Oryctolagus cuniculus: one gene and its partner. The protein of the gene in region 1 purifies or fractionates together with the protein of each later gene. This does not show direct contact. Links are inferred from orthologs where the notes say so. Each region holds a gene or a part of one and is shown on either strand. Other genes may lie near its edges.

Evidence for each region.
Region 2: the proteins of DBF4B (region 1) and CDC7 purify together in Homo sapiens (affinity purification with mass spectrometry; 3 studies listed by BioGRID and IntAct, counting the BioPlex papers as one, with this or other methods). This does not show direct contact. The link is inferred for Oryctolagus cuniculus from reciprocal best matches to the Homo sapiens genes DBF4B and CDC7.

What each region holds. Positions count from the first base shown.
Region 1 is NC_091448.1:17,992,436-17,996,245, forward strand, and holds part of DBF4B (protein DBF4 homolog B), read left to right. Parts: intron 1-832; coding exon 833-883; intron 884-1,557; coding exon 1,558-1,645; intron 1,646-3,083; coding exon 3,084-3,157; intron 3,158-3,810. UniProt on the Homo sapiens protein: Regulatory subunit for CDC7 which activates its kinase activity thereby playing a central role in DNA replication and cell proliferation. Required for progression of S and M phases.
Region 2 is NC_091438.1:79,107,366-79,111,175, forward strand, and holds part of CDC7 (cell division cycle 7-related protein kinase), read right to left. Parts: intron 3,354-3,810; coding exon 3,270-3,353; intron 2,958-3,269; coding exon 2,822-2,957; intron 1-2,821. UniProt on the Homo sapiens protein: Kinase involved in initiation of DNA replication. Phosphorylates critical substrates that regulate the G1/S phase transition and initiation of DNA replication, such as MCM proteins and CLASPIN.

The DNA of each region.
Region 1 (3,810 bases):
GAAGGTATCTGTTAACATGTCTCCCTCCGTCTTGGTCAGTCTGCCTTTAAAAGAAAGAAATAATTTTTTTTATTTAAAATGTCCATGAACATCCACTATTGGCATCATTATGAGGCACAAGGCTCCAAGGAACCAGGAGAAGATTTTCTAGGGGCCCACATGGTGGCGTAGAAGTCAAGCCTACACCTGCAGTGCCGGCATCCCTTATGGGTGCCAGTCCAAGTTCTGGCTGCCCCACTTCCCAATCCAGCTCCCTGCTAATGCACCTGGGAGGGCAGCGCAGGATGGCCCAAGTCCTTGGGCCCTGCACCAGTGTGGGAGACCTGAAAGAAGCTCCTGGCTCCTGGCTTTAGCCTGGCCCAGCCCCAGCTGTTGTGGCCATTTGGGGAGTGAACCATCGGGTGGGAGACCTTTCTGTCTGTCTCTTCTCTCTCTCGCCTTCTCTCTTTGTATCTCCTCCTTTTGAATAAATAAATAAATATTTAAAAAAAAAAAAAAAAACCTTTCTAAAGTGAAACAAGGACAGTCATTCCGTACTTGAATGCAAACTTCTAAGAAGAGGTGTTGTGATACTCGTCACACCTTGACCTCAGTGAGCGTGGGTGCCTTCCCCACGGGAGGCAGCTGGCCCGAGCTGCAGCTCCCTCTGGGTGACCTGGACTTTTGCCCCCTGCAGGTTCTCTCGGCTCTCGTTTCTGCTGATCTCAGCTGTCTCTGCTCTTAGCTTCCGGGGGACGTGACCCCATGGCAGCTGCACCAGCTCAGACGTGAGCATCTGTTTGCCCTCGTGCTGTGCGCCACGCAGCACACCCCATTGTGCTCTCTCCCCCAGGTGCCCATGAGCAGAGGGAAAGAGCTGCTGCAGAAGGCCATCAGAAAGCAGGTGAGCTGGGCAGGACAGGGCAGGGGTGCCTGGCACCGCTGGACAGGGAGGCGGCCTCTCCGCTCGCGCGGAAGTCACACTCGGCGACAGGTGGCGTGCTGTCCTTTCCTTAGAGAAGTTCCCCGCGTCACCTGGGGACGTTAGAGCCAGAGCCAGCTCCACTCGAGCCTGCCAAGAGAGCCCTGGAAGATGTGGCAGGACGTGGCTGCTGGGCGCGTCGGCCAGACTCGGGGCGTGTTTTCTCAGTAGCTGTTTGTCTAGTTACATGGCAGCTGGAAGAGCGAAGGTGATTCTGTGAGCGGAGCCATTGAGGTCCCATCGGGATGGGCATCGTGGCTGTGGGGAGGGAGAGGCGCTGGCAGACGGAGCTCTGCTGCCAGCAGCGTCCTGCTCAGCGGTGCCTGTGATGTCCCCAGTGTATCCTGTGTCCCTGCTGCGTGCACAGGCCCTCCTGACGGACAGGTCTCCTGGAAGCCCAGTTCTGGGTCGCCACAGCAGGCTGTGTCCTGCTGACGGGGCCAGCCCGTGTGCAGGGCAGGGTGTGTCTTCTGGGCACCAGGCCCTTCTCCCGCCCGCCACGCCCCGGCTCACCCAGGGCCCTCCGCGGGACGCTCCCCTGCCCCGTCAGGCCTCGGGGAGTCTCACGTCCTGCCTGGCGGTCTCTGTCGTTGCAGGGGAGCAGCAGCGGCGGCGGCAGTGGAAGCAGCAGCAGCCTCCTGACCAACGCCCGCTCCTGGGGAGTGCGGGTCCTGCACGTGGACGGTACTGCTTCCCCCGGGCACCGGGGGAGGGCACAGTTGTTGGTTTGGGCCAGAAATGTCAGCTGGTAGAGGGTTCATGGCTATGTACGCTCCTGGCAGCTGGAAGCCGAAAATACTGTCACCAAGTGGCTGTGCAGAGGTGGAGGGGTGGGAGAGGGGGTGACAACAGCAGAACGTGGACGCCTGTGGCCTGCAGGTGCCAGGAACAGGCCATCGGCTGTGGCTGCAGCACCCCTCTCCAGCCAGGGTGATGGTCCTAGCGTGCAGACAGGGAGGCAGCCCCTTAGCAGCCACTCACCCTGTGCCAGCGGTCACCGCGCTGAATCCTCACCACAAGCCTGTCCCCATGTGCAGGGGTGGAGACCGAGCCCCCGAGGCACTGAGGGAGCTGTCCATGGTCTCTTGGGCATAGTGCTGTGGCCCTGACTCGCTGCAGCTCGGCCTGTGAACCCTGTGTCCTCTCTTCTCTGTAGGGGTGCCTCACGCTCTAAACAGCCTGCTTGCAGGCCGTCAGCAGCGGCACTGGGATTGTTGTCCTGAGTCGCTGGCGGCAACTGCTCTCACCCTCACTGAGCCGCTTTAGGGTGGATCTACCTGGGAAAGCCCCCAAGTGCTGTCTGGGGTGCTACCCCACCCTTTGGTGTCAGTATCTTCTTTTTTTTTTTCTTTTTTTTTTTTTTTTAATATTTATTTATTTGAGAGGCAAAGAGAGAGAGAGTCTTCCATCTGCTGGTTCACTCCCCAAATGGCTGCAATGGCTGGAGCTGGGCTGATCCGAAGTCAGGAGCCAGGAGCCTCCTCCCAGTCTCCCACATGGGTGCTTGGGCTACCTTCCACTGCTTTCCCAGGCCACAGCAGAGAACTGGATCAGAAGTGGAGCAGCCGGGACTTGAACTGGTGCCCTTATGGGATGCCGGCACTGCAGGTGTCAGCTTTTCCCACTACACCACAGCACCGGCCCCGGTGTCAGTATCTTCTACGGGGCTTGAGAGGTTACTTGGGGAGAGTTCCAGGTCTTGGGGGGGGGGGGGGGGCCTCTGTCTCCCTGAAAAAACCAGCGCTTTGTGACTGGTTCTCATGTCCTGCCCTGCTGTGGGTCAGAAGCGGGTCTTCCTCCCCGGGGTACATCTGAGTAGCTGCCCTGCTTGGCCTCCCACCAGGAGCAGCTCTTCAGTGGTCCTCAGTGTCCGTGGTGACCCGGGAGGTACCCCTATTCCAAATGAAGCTGCCGCCGGTGATTCCTGTGAGCGCGGCGTCAGGCCGAGGACCCAGCCCAGCCCTTCCCTCTGTTGTCAGGAGGTGCAGAGGTGCCCCCCAGCCAGGAGGTGGCAGGCCAGGCCGGTAGATGGGGCGGGTGTGGCCTGGCCTGGCGTTCCGTCCTCAGCCCTGCGCCCAGGAGGGTGCGAGCTGGTGACTGCAGCCCAGTGTCCTCTCCGCAGAGATGTTGGTGCACGTGCAGCAGCTGTCTCTGGGGTCTCTCTGTGTGAAGAAACAGGAGCCGAAGAAGGCAGAGGTAGGTCGCCCTGCTAACTCTCGGGCAGCGGTGGTTCCCCACGCGGCCTCTGGCGGCTCCACTAAAGCCATGACCCACCCAGGCTCTCTTCCTGGCCATTCTGGAAACCACAAGCAGGGGGCGGCCTCCTGGTTACTTCGTTCGCCGCGTCCGCAGCTTTGCACTGCCTTTCTTCCCTTGCCTTGGCCCTGTGCTCCCTGCAGACCCCCGGGTGCACTGGCTCGCTGAGGCATTCACTGCGCGCCCTGTGGGGACTCCTGGCCTAGAAAAGTTTCATGACAGCTCATGGCCGCTCGGCCTGGCAACGAGCCTGCAGGTGGCGGAGCTGGCGGGGGCGGCGTGAGGCTTTGAAACAGCTGCCGTCTTCCACATGCTCGCTCGGCGTTCCCTCTCTTTGCTGGAGTTAGAACTGTGTGCACCACACCCAGAGAGCGCTGGCCAGCGCCCAGCCCAAGTCTGGGGAAAGGACTGACCCTGCAGGTGCACGCGGGGCCGGCGCCCAGGACAGGGCAGGCCTCGCGGAGGCAGCAAAGCATGGCCAGAGTGGCCGGAGCATTTAGCCGCTGCTTCCCTGCTCCTCCTGCACCAGGAGTTCTGGGGATTCGGAACTGCCACTAAATCTGTCACCTGAAATCCAAGGGCTGTCCAAGGCC
Region 2 (3,810 bases), on another chromosome or scaffold:
TAGTCACGAGGCCAAAACTTGCCCCTTGAGTTACAAGTTGAATCCTGTTAGTTTATTCCTAACCAATGTTCTTAATCACAATGTTTCTTAACGGGTAAGGAAAATGGAATAATGTTGATTTCCATGATTTTGATACTGACTGTAATAAGTAGATGCCAAAAAAATTAAGTAAAACAAGCAAACAAACAACACCAACAATTCATCATTTTAAAAGAAAAATTTAGATATGGGACTAAATATTTTAAATTTTTTAAAGATGTATTTATTTATTTGAAAGGCAGAGTTATATATAGAGAGAGACATCTTCCATCTGCTGGTTCACTCCCCAGATGGCAGTGATGGCCAGGGCTGGGCCAGACAGAAGCCAGGAGCCAGGAACTTCATCTTGGCTTCCCACATGGGTGGCAGGAGTCTAAACACTTGGGCCATCTTCTACTGTTTTTCCCAGGCCATCAGCAGGGAGTTGTATTGGAAGTGGAGCAGCCAGGATATGAATTGGTGCCCGTTCGGGATGCTGGCACTACAGGTGATGGCTTTACCAGCTATGCCAATACCCGCCCCAATCTTTTTTTCTTAATATTTTATTTATTTCTTTGAAAGACAAAGTTAGAGAGAAAAGGAGAGACAGAGATCTTCCATTTGCTGGTTCATTCCCCAGATAGCCACATGGCCAAGGCTGGGCCAGGTTAAAGCCAGGAGCAAGGAGATTTTTCTGGGTCTCCCACATGGGTGGCAGAGGCCCAAGCACTGGGGCCACCTTTTACTGCTTTCCCAGGCCATCAGCAGGGAGCCAGATTGGAAGTGCAAATGGGCACCCATATAGGATGCCAGCACTGCAGGCGGCAGCTTAATTGGCTACATCACAATGCTGGCCCCCAGGACTAAATCTTAACTGGGAAGTCAAGCGAGAAAACTTACAAAGAAGCAATATCCAAAAGCTGTGAACATAAACAGAGAAGAGAAAATGAGTTTTGGAAAAAGTCTCATGGTAAAAAGTAAAAATAAGGAAGGATAACAAAGTAAGGAGTTGGAAAGGAGCCCCCAAAATGGAGGTCAGAGGATAAGGACTGAGTAAAGGCTTTTGGAGTGACAGGGAAACTAGTAATTTTTCTAAAAGCAATTAAATGGAAAGAAAGAAGCAAAATAGGAGTTAAGGAAAGCAACCAGGATAGTGTTCAAAGCAGAGCACAAAGACAATTTGCCAACTGCATTGCAAGACCAGAGGAAGACGTTTTTAGCATGCACATTTCTGAAATGCAGAGAAAGGAAAAAGGGGTAGAGAGACACCAAGTACAGAGAAGGGTGAATCAAAGAAACAGGCTCATTCTTTTATTGATTTAATAAGAAATTAGTGGGCACTATTATTTGGAGACACTATGTTAGACATGGGGAATGCAATGATAAGTAAAATTAATACAATTTCTGTCCTCAGAGAACTTAACTATCTAGTAGAACAATGGGCAACAAACAAGATGATAAATAATGGACTACAGTACGGGGCTTAGAAAAAGCCTAAAGTTCCTACATACACACACACACACACACACACACACATATATCAATATAGGAGAATCAAATTTAATCCAAGGCATCTTTGAAACAATGTCACTCTTGCCTACAGCAGAAATAAGAGATAACAGCATTTGAAGACCAGAGAGTTCTTCTTGCATGGACAAAGAGTTTGGGAATGAGTGGCCTTAAAGAAAGTAAGCTCTTAAGATAAATTGGAGGAACTAAAGAAACCGGAGCACAGGGAAGAGTCGGGAAGACCGGCATGATAAAGGAATGACTTCTTTTCCCTTAAACTATATTAGGAAACCACAGAAAAATTTTAGGTGGCAGAACTCACATTGTCTAAATTATGTTACAGAATATAAAGCTCACTCTGACGACTGTATGAAGATAGGATAAGGGGGCACAAAAGACACAGGCAAGAGTAGTAGTCTAGCCTTGGATTAAGGTAGTGAGGCAGCAGGTGATGGGTCAAGTAGCTGGGTCCCTGTCATCCATCTGTGAGATCTATACTGAGTTCCAGGCTGCTGGCTTGGCCTGGCCCATCCATGGCTGTTACAGGCACTTGACGAGTGAACCAGTGAGTGGAAGATATTTCTCTGCCTTTCAAATAAATAGTATTTAGGAAAAAATATTTAGAAAAGTCAAAAAATAGTATTTAGTATTTATAAAATAGTATTTTCTTAAAAAAATTTTTGCTTTTTTGGCACATTAGGTTTGAGGTATTTATCAAGCATCCATTTGGAAATATCTGCAGTTAAAAGACCTTAGACTAGACACATCCTTTAGGAAATCATTACCATAAGTCATATGGAAATGCAGAATAGTATCTGAGGAAGAGTAAAAGAGAGCAAAGAAATAATGGAGCAACTGGACGAGAGAGGAAAGTTCAGAAGCCACTAGATATTAGATTGCGTCCATATGTTGATAGAAATGATTTATCAGAGAGGTAATTCTGTTATTCTCATCAAAATATGAGATGAGTCCATCCAAAGTTAGGTAGATGTGAAATACCAGATTACCACATTAAAAAAAATATAAACCATGGATACCAAAGTTTATGATTTGGCAGGAATATTAACTAAGTGGTGAAAGAACAGGAAGCCAAACTGAGCTCAAAGGAAATCCACTCTAAAAGAATATAAACTTAATTAATCTTTGCAAGGTTGAAAAAAGTGCTAGTAAATCACAAACACCTAACTAAAAAAATAAGCTTGATTCATGTACAATCTCATCAGCCCTATTCATCTACTTTAAAATATTGCAAGTCACATGGTCAGTACAATTAAAATGTCTTTAAATTGCCTACCCAGCCACTGTTAGACACTGAAGTTCAGCAGCGATTCTTATAGGATGACTTGTTGGAATTAAGTGTTTCAGAGCAATTTTTTCCTCAGGTCCCACTTGTAACTGTGCTGTGGCCAAATAAACAGAGCTGAAAGTGCCTATAAAAACAATTTATTAGGTTTTTCAGTATTTGGTTTTAAGATGTTAATGAAAAAATGCTAAAATATACCAAAGAAATTGTAATGGTATTAGATTAAAACAGGCGTGTTCATTTTACTGTAAATATCAGTTACATTTTCATTCTTCCCAGGAGGAAAAAAAGAAAATCTATTACCATAATTAGTAATATAATCATGGTCATAATATTTAAAAAGCAGTATATTTTTCAATTTAAAAATAATGAAAATCAAAATTGCTCAAGGAAAAGGGAAAAGAACTTACACAGATAAGAAAGTTTACCCCCAAATTACCTTCTCCAATTTTGTCCTTAATCTTAAACACATTGCCAAGTTGTGGAACAGCTTCATAAAGCTTCTCAATATCCTTTTTAACACCTATCAAGGAAACAAAAATTTATGGTTACAATCAAGGAGAGTTTTTTTATAACTTAAATTAAAAAAACTCAAAGAGATAAACTTTAAGATACGAGTATTACAAATGAAAAGTTTTAATAAATCTCAAAATTATAACTAAAACTCTATAAAGTTGTTATAATTTATACTTTTTTCTTAATTTATTTATTTGAAAAACAGAGTTACATAGAGAAAAGGAGAGACAGAGAGGGCGAGAGCAAGAGAGAGCGAGCGAGCAAGAGAGCGCTTCTATCTGCTGGTTCACTCCCCAGTTGGTTACATTAGCCAGGGCTAGACCAGGCTGACGCCAGAAACAAGGAGCTTCATCTGAGTCTCCCATGTGAGTGGCAGAAGTGTAAGGACTTGGGCCATCTTTCTACTGCTTTCTCAGACTCATTAGCAGGAAGCTATATCAGAAGTGGAGCAACCAGGACATGAA